Ovis aries: one gene and its partners. The protein of the gene in region 2 purifies or fractionates together with the protein of the main gene of each other region. This does not show direct contact. Links are inferred from orthologs where the notes say so. Each region holds a gene or a part of one and is shown on either strand. Other genes may lie near its edges.

What was found. The genes of interacting proteins can lie anywhere in the genome.
Region 1: the proteins of tumor necrosis factor receptor superfamily member 10B-like (region 2) and RIPK1 purify together in Homo sapiens (affinity purification with western blotting, with the first as the bait; 3 studies listed by BioGRID). This does not show direct contact. The link is inferred for Ovis aries from reciprocal best matches to the Homo sapiens genes TNFRSF10B and RIPK1.
Region 3: the proteins of tumor necrosis factor receptor superfamily member 10B-like (region 2) and CFLAR purify together in Homo sapiens (affinity purification with western blotting, with the first as the bait; 5 studies listed by BioGRID). This does not show direct contact. The link is inferred for Ovis aries from reciprocal best matches to the Homo sapiens genes TNFRSF10B and CFLAR.

The regions. Positions count from the first base shown.
Region 1 is NC_056073.1:49,697,607-49,701,353, forward strand, and holds the start of RIPK1 (receptor-interacting serine/threonine-protein kinase 1), read right to left. Parts: upstream 2,882-3,747; 5' UTR 2,622-2,881; exon of another isoform or gene 2,451-2,621; intron 2,174-2,450; exon of another isoform or gene 1,524-2,173; intron 789-1,523; exon of another isoform or gene 527-788; intron 1-526. UniProt on the Homo sapiens protein: Serine-threonine kinase which is a key regulator of TNF-mediated apoptosis, necroptosis and inflammatory pathways.
Region 2 is NW_024599721.1:42,239-45,954, forward strand, and holds the start of tumor necrosis factor receptor superfamily member 10B-like, read left to right. Parts: upstream 1-878; coding exon 879-888; intron 889-1,722; coding exon 1,723-1,834; intron 1,835-2,661; coding exon 2,662-2,879; intron 2,880-3,237; coding exon 3,238-3,435; intron 3,436-3,716. UniProt on the Homo sapiens protein: Receptor for the cytotoxic ligand TNFSF10/TRAIL. The adapter molecule FADD recruits caspase-8 to the activated receptor.
Region 3 is NC_056055.1:203,444,330-203,448,076, reverse strand, and holds the start of CFLAR (CASP8 and FADD-like apoptosis regulator), read right to left. Parts: upstream 2,476-3,747; 5' UTR 2,365-2,475; intron 1-2,364. UniProt on the Homo sapiens protein: Apoptosis regulator protein which may function as a crucial link between cell survival and cell death pathways in mammalian cells. Acts as an inhibitor of TNFRSF6 mediated apoptosis.

The DNA.
Region 1 (3,747 bases), on a different chromosome or scaffold from region 2:
GTCACACCGTAAAGTCATGTTACAGAGTAATTAATGAACACACACTAACCTGTCATATCATCTTATGACCAAGTACTTTCAACAGAGAATATAACGGTCTATTTTAATGGATTTTCAAAATTAATTGGAAAATTAATTGAAATTAATTGGAAATTAATTGAAATTAATTGGAAATTCCAAGAAACTTCACAAGTTATCTGTAAGTCTATATAAAAAATATTCATATCGACATTCAATTTTGTCAACTATACTTCAGTAAAACTGGGGAAGAATACAAATAACTAACAATATATAACATCAAAAAGCCAGGGAAAATGAATCTACAATGTTAACACTTAGGGCAGTAGTTACTGAGAGGTGGAAGCAGCCAGCAGGGAAGGAAGGAAGTGTCGGGCGTGAGGGCGATACTTGTCTCTTCTTAATGTTCACTTCAGGACAATTAAGAGAGTCAAACAGTTATGATGTGTGTTCTTTTCTGTGTATCACAATAAATAATTTTTTTAAGTTAAAAAAATTTCATATTTACCTTTAAGTGGTTGAGGGCGATTTTTTTCAGTGTTTCAGTGAGGACCATACATGAGGAGTCTGACAGAAAATGCTGGCTACCCGACTATCATGACCCCCTTTTCCTCTGCACATGGAACTCTGTTTTTACTCAGGCATCCAATGGGAATTTCTCAAGGTTCTTTGATTTTAACTGCTTGATGCTTTGCCTCAGATAAACAAGAGCTCTGAGCAAGAGAGAAAACTACAAGAGTTCAACCCAGTGTATCTTGCACATGATGACCCTGTGAAGTACCAACTTATTAATACATCGGTTCCAAGTTACAAACTGAGAAACTATAATTTGGAGTTTAATGATTCACCTAGAGTAACAGATCCCAGAATTGAGTCTTAATGTCTTCACTCAAATTTCCACTATCAGTTCAGTAACACATGCTACTTCTCCAGAGAGTAAACAATAATTTGTCTTCCTTAAAATCAGATTCAAAGACCTAATCTTACAATTTTGCTCACCTATACTAAATAAGTATGCTACATTCAGAAACATAGGGAAAGTACAGACTAAATTTTAAAAACATATGAAAACATGCGGTTCAAAATCAATATTCTACAGGTTAACACGATCATTTTTGCCGAAGTATAACGTCCAACCATAGCATGGGAAGCTGTGCTTTTTCAAATTCCCAGCTCATACTGGTGGTATTACCATGTTGTTGATTAATAAGCATCCAAGAGAAATTTTCAATTTTGGAAACTGTTATTTAGGGATATTTTTCTTTATTCTCGTGAATATTCACAATCCTGAAAGTGCAATGTATCTGTGGTGCTCAATTCAGCTCAGTGAAGCATGCAAATTACAGTTAATCATGATAGTTGTTTTACCAGTAATAATAATTACGATGATGAGATACCTCAACTGCTTTAAACAAGCTTCCTCTTTCCCTTTTGTGTTTAGAAGGGGGCAGTTCCCCATACTTATAATTGACTACAATCTCCTCCCCACTCTTGCACCTACGTACCTGATGGTTACAAAACGTAGATCAAGGAAGAAGTCACTCCTGCCTTGATTTCTTCATGTGTGAATGGAGGGAGAAGTAATAGCGGTTCTATTGCAAAGTCGCTTGAGTGTAACGGGCCTCGGGCTTTGTCCAGGACACGCAAGAGCTCCGAGCAAGGAAGAGCCGAAGGAACAGCGAGAGACAAAGTAATGAACAGTAACCCCGCCTCTGTGGGAGGCTGTCCAGCGTGAGCAAAGAAGGGTGGCGCTCACCCTCTTCAAAACTCTAAAGAGGCTACGAGAGCGTGTGCGCGCTCAGTCACTTAGTAAAAGCACGCGCCACCGGGGGACGACGCCCTCCCCGCCGTGCCCGTCGACCCTTCTTTCCCAGCTCTCCTCGAAGACGGCGCGGGAAGGCGTCTGACGGCGTCGCGAGCAGCGGCGGCCCCGGCGCCCCCGTGACCCGGGGCGGCGAAAGCTCGTAACGACACCGCAGGGAAGACCGGCCACCTCCCCTGACACCACAGCGCAAACCACGTGGCGGGCCGTCTCCACCTCAGGCAGTTATCGCGCGGGAGCCAAATCTCTGCCCGGTCCCGCCAGACCCAAACTCCCGGCGAGACGAGACGCCGCAGGGACCGCCGACGGCTGGCAGTTGGGCGCTCGACTTCCGGGAGCTCGCGGGCCACGCCCACCCTCCTACTGGCTCACCATCTGACTTCCGGGAACTCGCGGGCCACGCCCACCATCCTACCGGCTCACCGTCTGACTTCCGGGAACTCGCGGGCCACGTCCACCACCCTAAAGGCCCACCGTCTGCCTTCTGAGAACTCGCGGGCCACGCCCACCACCCCACTGGCCCACCGCCAGACCTCAGGAACGCCGCGGGCCACGCCCACCGCCCGAACTCCGGCAGCCGCGTCGCCCGCCCCACCCACCGGAAGCAGAAGCCCCGCCCCCTGCCGGAAGCCTGCCCCAGAGACTGGTCTGGGCCCGGCGGTCCCGCGCTGACGCACCGAGAGATTCGCTTTCGCTTTCGCGGGAGACTTCCTGAGGCCCCAGGCCGGGTGAGGAAGGAGGCGGCGGGGCAGCCTAGAGTTGCTCCGACGCCCGGCAGTACCTGGCCGGCGCAGGCCGGGGTGGCACGCCGGGCCCGATTAGGGGTCTCCGGGGCGGAGCCGTCGGCTGGGAGGCGGGCGGGGACCGCCCCGCCTTGCCCTGCCCTCACCGCGCCCGGCTCCGCGGGCCAGCCGTCCGTCGCGTGCTGTCCAGTGGTCGGCGCGCTCGGGCTCCTCGCGGAGTGGGCCCGCTGGGGCCCCGCGCTCCGGGGTCAGCGCTCCGGGACACCGATGCGGTGTCCGCGCCGCCGGCGCTTCGACTGAGGGAGCCCGGCCGGCGGAGGGCGTGGACTGCTCGCTCCGCCTCCGCTCCTGCCCCTGAGGAGGGTGGGGAGAGCGCCCGCCCCGCGTCTGGAAAGGTCTCCGGGCCCGTTCTGAAACCCCGGGACGCGCTCAGACTGAGGATCGTGCTCTCAGAGCGGTTTGGGAGGCCGAGAGGACAGAGGAAATGCCGAGTCACGGAAACCACTCACAGAAACCTGCCGGGCGCGGCGGGCAGGGCCGGAGACGATGGGCTGCTTCCCCGGGGGATTCTGAGCTCTGCAGGTCAGCAGCGCGGGAACCCTAGGCAGCAAGCTCCCAGGCATTTATCTCCTTCACCTGTGAAGTGGGGATAATCTCTTCTGTGGGGCTGCGGAGGAACCAGCATCATACGAGGATGGTTGGGAAGTCTGAAGCAAAATGGGAAATGGTTGCTATAGTGTTATGATGAAAAGTTGATTATATATATAGCATGATTACATACTATAAAAAGATATCTGGAGGTAATGAGATGCCACAAACTGAGAAAATATTTGCAGAAAGCATAGCTGATAAAATACTGTTACCCAAAGTATACTAGAAATGCCAGAGAAGGAAAAATGCAATTGAGAAAAGGCAAAAGATCTCAACAGACTTCTCACGATACAAATGACAAGTAAGTATATGAAAAGATGCTCAATATTATAGGATATTAGGAAACTGTGAAAAACCAATGAGATGCCACCACATATTGTCTGCCTAAAATAAATGGACTGCCAACTATTTCTCTAGCATAAACAAGTTTATTATGAAAAGAATTGCAATTTGAGGTCTGCCACCCTGGGAACTTGCATGCAAATGGAGAGGACACCTTTATGGGGGAAAAGG
Region 2 (3,716 bases):
CAACCCTTGTCTCCATGTCTATGGGTTTATTTTGGCTGTGCTGAGGCTTTGCTGCTGCATGGGCTCTCTCTAGTTGTGGAGAGTGGGGCCTCCTCTCCAGTTGCGGTGCTTGAGCTTCTCCCTGGGGAGGCTTCTCTTGTTGCCGAGCAGAGGCTCTCGGGCGCATGGGCTTCAGGAGTCGCAGCAGGTGTGCTCAGTAGTCGTGGCTCCCGAGCTGCAGAGCCCAGGCTCAGGAGTTATGACACCTGGGCTCAGCTGCTCCGCAGCATGTGGGATCTTCCCAGACCAGGGATCGAACCCATGTATTCTGCATAGGCAGGCAGATTCTTTCCCTCTGAGCCACCAGGAAAGCCCCTGACCTTTCTTTTTACTGTTTAATGTGCCAGCTGTGAATGTGACTTGGATGTGTGGCTTGTTATATATTTCTGTTGGCAGTACTGGTCTAGGGTATGTGGTAGATGAAGAATCAAAAGATGAAAGCCCGGTTGAGGAGAGTTCCCCTTGTGGATTCCACAGACGGCCAAAAGAGGCCTCCCCAGCCACACTGCCAGCCTCAGGGAATCCTGTGGGGTTTACTCACCAGCTTTTCCCTTCCTTCCCAGGATTCTATATGGGAGAAGCCAGTGGAGGTTGTGCCCCATGCACTGATGGGATAGACTACACCAATCATTCAAACACCCTCCCTTCTTGCCTACCTTGCATGACTTGCAAATCAGGTCCAGAACCTGTGGTCCCCTGTGCCTGCGGTTAGGGTGCTGGGTGATGAGATGGGATTTAAATGGGACGAGGAGTCAGAAACCTGATTTCCATCCCAGCTAGGTCTTCAGCTTGTCTTAGGTCAGTAAAATAAATGAAAACAGAAGTTATTTGCATGACGCATGCCAACTGGTAGGGAAGTCCCTCAGAACATCAGCTGGAAAGAGGGGAATAACGTGTCCCTTGATGGAGGGGGCTGGATGGTAACAGTGCAGAAGGCCTGGGGGAGTGGGGCAGGGCTGGGTTTGAGCTGTGTGATGTGTCTGATCTTGGGCCAGCCTCCTGTGGGCGCTATGCCCTCGCTCTGGGGTCTCAGCCTCTCTCAGTCTTCATGACCTGAGATCCCTCTGCCTCTCCAGCAAGGCATCACCCGTTGGGACATCACCTAAGGGTTCCTCTCCATCCACAGCATCTCAGATTACACCTCACCCCACCCCACTTCTTGCTCCTCATTTGTGATCTAAAATATTTTTCTTCCCAACCCTGATGCAATCCGTAATGATGCCCAGTCCCTTTTGTATGCCTCTGTTGGTGACACGTGAACAGTGGCTGTTCTATGGATGGTCTATGTGTGTTGCCACAGAAAATGACCCCAAAATTACTTAAAAAAAGATTAATGCATTTATTTTTGGCTGTTCGGGGTCTTTGTTGCGGAACAAGGGCTTTCTCTCGTTGTGGTGAGGGGGGCTGCTCCGTGCTGCTTCTCATCATGGTGCACAGGCCCTAGAGCACAGGAGCAGTAGCTGTGGCTCCCAGGCTTAGCTGCCCTGCAACATGTGGGGTCTTCCCAGACCGGCGATGCAACCTGTGTCCCCTGCTTTGACAGGCGGATTCCTAACCACTGGACCAGCCAGGAAGCCCTCCGAATTACTTCTTGAACTGAGTGGATGGAGATCTGGGTGGTGAAGAAGGGGTGAGAGACATATGAGGGAAACACACCCTCAAAACCTTATCTTTGGTCTCTAGGAGAAGAAGAAAAAAATCGCTGCACCCCCACCAAGGACACTGAGTGTCAGTGCAAACCTGGCCCTTTCCGTGGAGAAGAGGCACCTGAATTCTGTCAAAAATGCAGCACCAGGTGAGACACAGGAGCCTGGGGGGCTTCCAAGCCACAGGAGACCCCAGTTTCCTTGTATCCATTTCTCTCCCCTGCTTCCTTGAAGCCCTTCCCACCTCTCAGAGCTCCCTTGTGCCTGTGGGGTCTCCTGAGCCTGCAGCAGCGCTCCCTACCACCACCGTTTGTCCTGCACGGCTTTCCCAGTGGCCCTTTCCCACGTCTCCTCAGGAGGGGCCTAGAAAGATGGAAGGGCTGACAGCAGACAGAAGTCATGATGAGGCCACGTGTGTGCTCCTTCAAGGTTCCTATAAAACTGGAGCCAACTCGACAGGGCTCGCACCCAGCCCCTTGTTCTCCAGTAGCACCTGAATCTTTCCTATTTGGGGACTCAGGGGCCAATAGTAATTCACTATCCTCTGATGCTCGTGTTTGCTGAGATTGGTAGGAAGAGTCAACAGGTGGATGAGAGGTCCTCGTATTCAAGTTTGACTGGAGGATGAGTCAAACTTGTGTCCACACCCTTCTGACCCTTGACATGGACGAGGCCCCCACCTCACAGACCTTCGCATGCAGCCCAGGGAGGCCAGGCGGGCCTTGCAGAGGAAGCTGAGCTCCTGAAGGACAGCTCTGAACACTCAGTAGGAGCCTGGGGGCCGCAGTACACAGTCCTGGATCCTTCTCCCACCCAGTGAGGGGAGTGAGGGGACCCTCCCCTGCAGACAGCAAGAGCCTGTCCCCCCTCCACTGTCTTGTCAGGGGACCCAGGATGGGAGGCTGCCCCCTCTTTCTCCTCATCCAGCCAGCTGTCCCTGATGGGTCCCCTACATCATCCCTGTGTCTGTACCCAGGTGCCCTGATGGGAAGGTCATGGTCACGGACTGTACCCCCTGGAGCAACATCAAGTGTGTGGACCAAGAAGCAGGTACCCTGGCCCATGGGGAGGCCCCAGTTCCTGGAGAGCTAGGAACTCCCTCTCCCTCCTCAGGCACTTCAAGGCTGGTGATTGGAATTGTAGCTGGACTTGGAATTGTCCTAATTGGATGTGTTATATGGTGCTTCTTTAACAGTGAGGTTCTAGAAGGGAAGGAGGAGGTGCTGGCTCCCTCCTCCATCTCCCCAATCCTCCTGTTCCTCCTGGCTTGTCTCTGATCTTGTTCCCCAGGAAACCCTTCCCACTTCACCTGGTCCTACAAAACCGTGATCACATCGGGCCCCCAACTCAGCTGATGGTCCCCTCTTCCCCCTGGCCGAGTCTGGTGGGAGGAGGCAGGAGAAGAGGGTGGTTCAGTAGCACTGCACAGAGATTTTACATGGGTTTCATTTTACTTCATTTTCTCCCTTCTCGTCTCCTCCCCGAGGGTTCTCCAGACTCAGAATGTCCCGCTTGCAGTCACAGGCCCGGGGCTCTTTGTTCAGTGTCTGAGCCCCCAACCTGCACCCTGTCCCTAGGAAGGGAGGTGCGGCAAGAGGGCCCTCCCCACCACTCAGTGGTTGTCTCTTTCTTCTAGGTCTCTCTGATGAGTGCTGGCACAAGGTGATCGGTTTCTCCAGCATCTGGCCGCATCAGACCCTCAGTAACAGCTTCCGCCCCACAACAATGCCCAGGGTGGACGTGGTCCTCGGTTTGTCCTATGCTGTTTTCCCTGACTCCCTCAACTGGCCTGAGGGCTCTAGGTTGAATGTAGGAGGGAGACTGGCCTGCTGAGAGCTGGCCTAAGGCTGGTTGGCAGCGCTGGCCCTGTCCTTACTGTTTGAGACACCCTCACTCTGCAGCCCCGGGGCGTGGGGGGTGTCAGGCAGGGGTACTCAGTTCCCCTTAGCATCACACCAGAGTCTGGGTGCCATCAGCACAGCCCAGATGTGCTGAGTCTCTGCCCACCTGGGGGACACAGCACAGGAGTAG
Region 3 (3,747 bases), on a different chromosome or scaffold from region 2:
TTCTATTAAGGTTTTCTTTTCTTTTTTTTTAATCCCAGAGTTAAGAATAATAATCTAGTTAAGGCTCCTTGAATGTTTGAAGATTGTGAAATGCAAACAAATTCAAAAATGTGCACTAAACATAAATACATATATTAATAAAGAATGGTAAATCAAACATCCATGTAACTGCCACCCAAAGGCACAAAATAGGATCATTTCAGAGGCCTCTGTGTGCCCATCCTTTATCATAACCCACGTTCTCCCCTAAGAGATAACCACTATCTCAAATTTGGAGATAAGAATTTTCTTGACTTTATAAGTTTTACCATTTACCTATGCATCTCTAAACAATACAGCTTAGTTTTTACTATTTTTGCACTCTATATGGATGAAAACAAACCATATTCATCTGTGCCTTTCTTTTTATGCTCAATATTATGTTCATTGAGATTTACTGTGTAGTATGTCAGTACAGTTCATTGATTTTCATTGCTGTATACTATAACATTCTTAGAAGAAAACAGAGTAGAAAAATCTTTGAAACTTTGGGGTAGGCAGAGATTTCTTAGAGCACAAACAAGCACAACTCATAGCAGAAAACATTTACAAATCAAAAATTTTAATCTTTCCTTCAAAATATCCGCATTAAAAAAAAATAAAAATAGGACTTCCCCGGCAGCCCAGTGGTTAAGACTCTGTACTTCCACTGAGGAGTGTGGATCTGGATCCCTGATCGGGCAACAAGACCCCAAACACCAAAACTAAAAGTTTGCATGCTACAACTAAAGATCCTGGGTGCCACAACTAAGGCCTGGAGCAGCCAAATAAATAAATAAATGTTTTGTTTTGTTTTATTTAAAGAAATGAAAGGGCAACCATAGATTAGGGCTTCAATATATATCATCAAAGGACATAAAGCCTGAATATATGAAGAATTCTTACTCTGAATAATAAAACTAATGACTCACTTTTTAAATGGGCAAAAACTTTGCCCAGCTACCTCACAAAATAAGATAAGCAACGGCCAATAAGTGCATGAGAAACTATTCAATATCATTAGTTATCAGGGAAATGAAAATTAAAAGCCTACAGGAATGGCTAAAATCCAAACAGTTGACAATACGAAGAATCAGTGAGAATGTGAAATAACTACAACATACATTACTGGCAGAAATGTAGCACAATAAAACTTGGAAAATAGTTTGGCTATTTGTTATAAAGTACACTTCAGTTCAGTTCAGTTCAGTTGCTCAGTCATGTCTGATTCTTTGCGACCCTAAGAACTGCAGCCCGCCAGGCCTCCCTGTCCATCACCAACTCCCGGAGTTCACTCAAACTCATGTCCATTGAGTTGGTGATGCCATCCAGCCATCTCATCCTCTCTTGTCCCCTTCTCCTCCTGCCCTCAATCCCTTCTAGCATCAGACTCTTTTCCAATGAGTCAACTCTTCACATGAGGTGGCCAAAGTACTGGAGTTTCAGCTTTAGCATCATTCCTTCCAAAGAACACCCAGGACTGATCTCCTTTAGAATGGACTGGTTGGATCTTCTTGCAGTCCAAGGGACTCTCAAGAGTCTTCTCCAACACCACAGTTCAAAAGCATCAATTCTTTGGTGCTTCGCTTTCTTCACAGTCCAACTCTCTCACATCCATACTTGACCACTGGAAAAACCATAGCCTTGACTAGACAGACCTTTGTTGGCAAAGTAATGTCTGTGCTTTTGAATATGCTGTCTAGGTTGGTCATAACTTTCCTTCCAAGGAGTAAGCGTCTTTTAATTTCATGGCTGCACTTAGCATATAATAAAACAAAAGCCCTCCTAAGCACTTACTCAAGAGAAATAATATATAATATATATACAAAGACTTGCAGATTAATTTTTATAGCAGCTCCTCTAATAATAATCCAAAGCTAGGAATAACTTAAATACTCACCAAAAGGCAAATGGATAAACCATGGGAGTGTATCTATAAAATGAAACAGTAGTCAGCAGTAAAAAAGGAAGAAACAGAAGGGACTCAAGAAGGTGGAGGAGTGGGTGGACATGGAGTACATCTCTCTCCATGGATGTATCAAGAATACATCTATAGATGCAACAGTTCTCACAGAACACGGCCTGAACACTAGCAGGAGTCCCTGACCACTGGAAAGGATTTTATGGATACTCGCATATCTGGGTAGGACAAAAGAAAGAGAGGAGAAGGAAGAGGAGAGAAAGCGCTGGGGGAGCTGAAGCAGGGGAGAGATTCCCACATCCGGAGGAATCAGTTGGGACAGAAAGGGAAGCATTTGGGGCTGTCGGAGGGTGAAGCAGCTGATCCATGACAGTCCGAATAGAGTGAAAACCACACAGACAATCCGAGCCGCGGCCCTACATAACCTGTCCCAGGATGCACGTCCACCGATGGCGCATGGCAGCTGGGAGCTGGAGCATGTAGACTGGAGAGCAAACCCAGGGCGAGGACTGCTACTGATTCCGAGGAGATGACCTGAAGGAAAGGAGGAAATCTGCAGCAGGATTTAAGGGAAACAGCCTTTGAAGGGAAACAGGGCGGCTCCGGAAGCAGGGCGCTACTGGTAAGTTACATGCAGGGGGTGGAGCCGTCTATGTAGCCTCTCTCTCCCCACGTTACCAGCACTGGCCCCTGAGCAGTAGAGAAGGATCCCAGAGAGGGCAGCCCTTCAAACACCAGCTGCCAGAAGCTAGAAAAGACTATTAGAGTCGTATCCCTTGAGCCCATGGCGCCTGGTGCTCTGGGAGTCTCCCCGATCCAAGCAGCCATGCCATCTCCACTCCTGGTCATCACTCGGGGGGACCCGAGTCCTCCAGGGCAGCCTTAGGAGTAGACTCTTATGGATGGCCCTCAGGTAGATGTGGGGATAAAACCACAATTGAGCTCCAGGGGCAGAGTGCCTAAGGAAAAAGATTAAAACCCTTTTCATCAGCTGCACAAGCTGCAGATTAAATCCATACAATCAACTAGGTAAACCCTGTGTCTGTGGAATATATGAAGACAAAGAATGTTCCCTGAAAAGAAAACCCTCTAGCTCTGGCAGCTGCAGACACTGGAGACAAGCATACCCAGTAGCAGGGCCAGATCAGAGTCTGTCCTCACAGCAGGTCGACCTGCTTTCCCCAGCACTGGAGGGCCTCCTAGGGAAGTGGAGATGGGCTGTGGCTCACAGTGAAGGGAAAGGATGCTGACAGCTGATCCCTGAGAAAATATTTATTATTATTCTTATGTTTTGATTCCTTCTGTTGTGGGTTCTGGTTTTTTTTCCTTTTTTTTTCTCTCTCTCTCTTTTTTCTCTGTTGTAGTTTTTATTTTTATTACTATTATTATTTCTATTTAGGTTTTTGAGATTCTTTTAAATCTTACTTTTTCTTTTATACAGTCTATTTCTGTTTAGCTTTCTGCTGTTCTGTGCTTTTTTGGCTTGTTTTTTGTTGTTGTTGTTTTCTGGGGGTTCTTTTTGTTGTTGTTGTTTTTCTTTAATATATGTGGATCTTTTTTACATACTTCTGTTTAACTTTGCATTTCTCTTTTGTCTCTTTTACCCCCACCATTTTTGTTTGTTTTGTTTTCTTTGCTTTATTGTTCAGTTGGCACTCTGCTTTGGTTTTGTTTTCTGTTTTAGTTAGTTTTGTTTTTAACTGATTGATTTAATTTTTGTTTCTTTTGTTCATCAGGTCAAAAGAACTGACCTGACTTTATTGGACTCTCTTGGGTTTTGTTTTCCTTGGTCTGTTTTGATTTCTTTT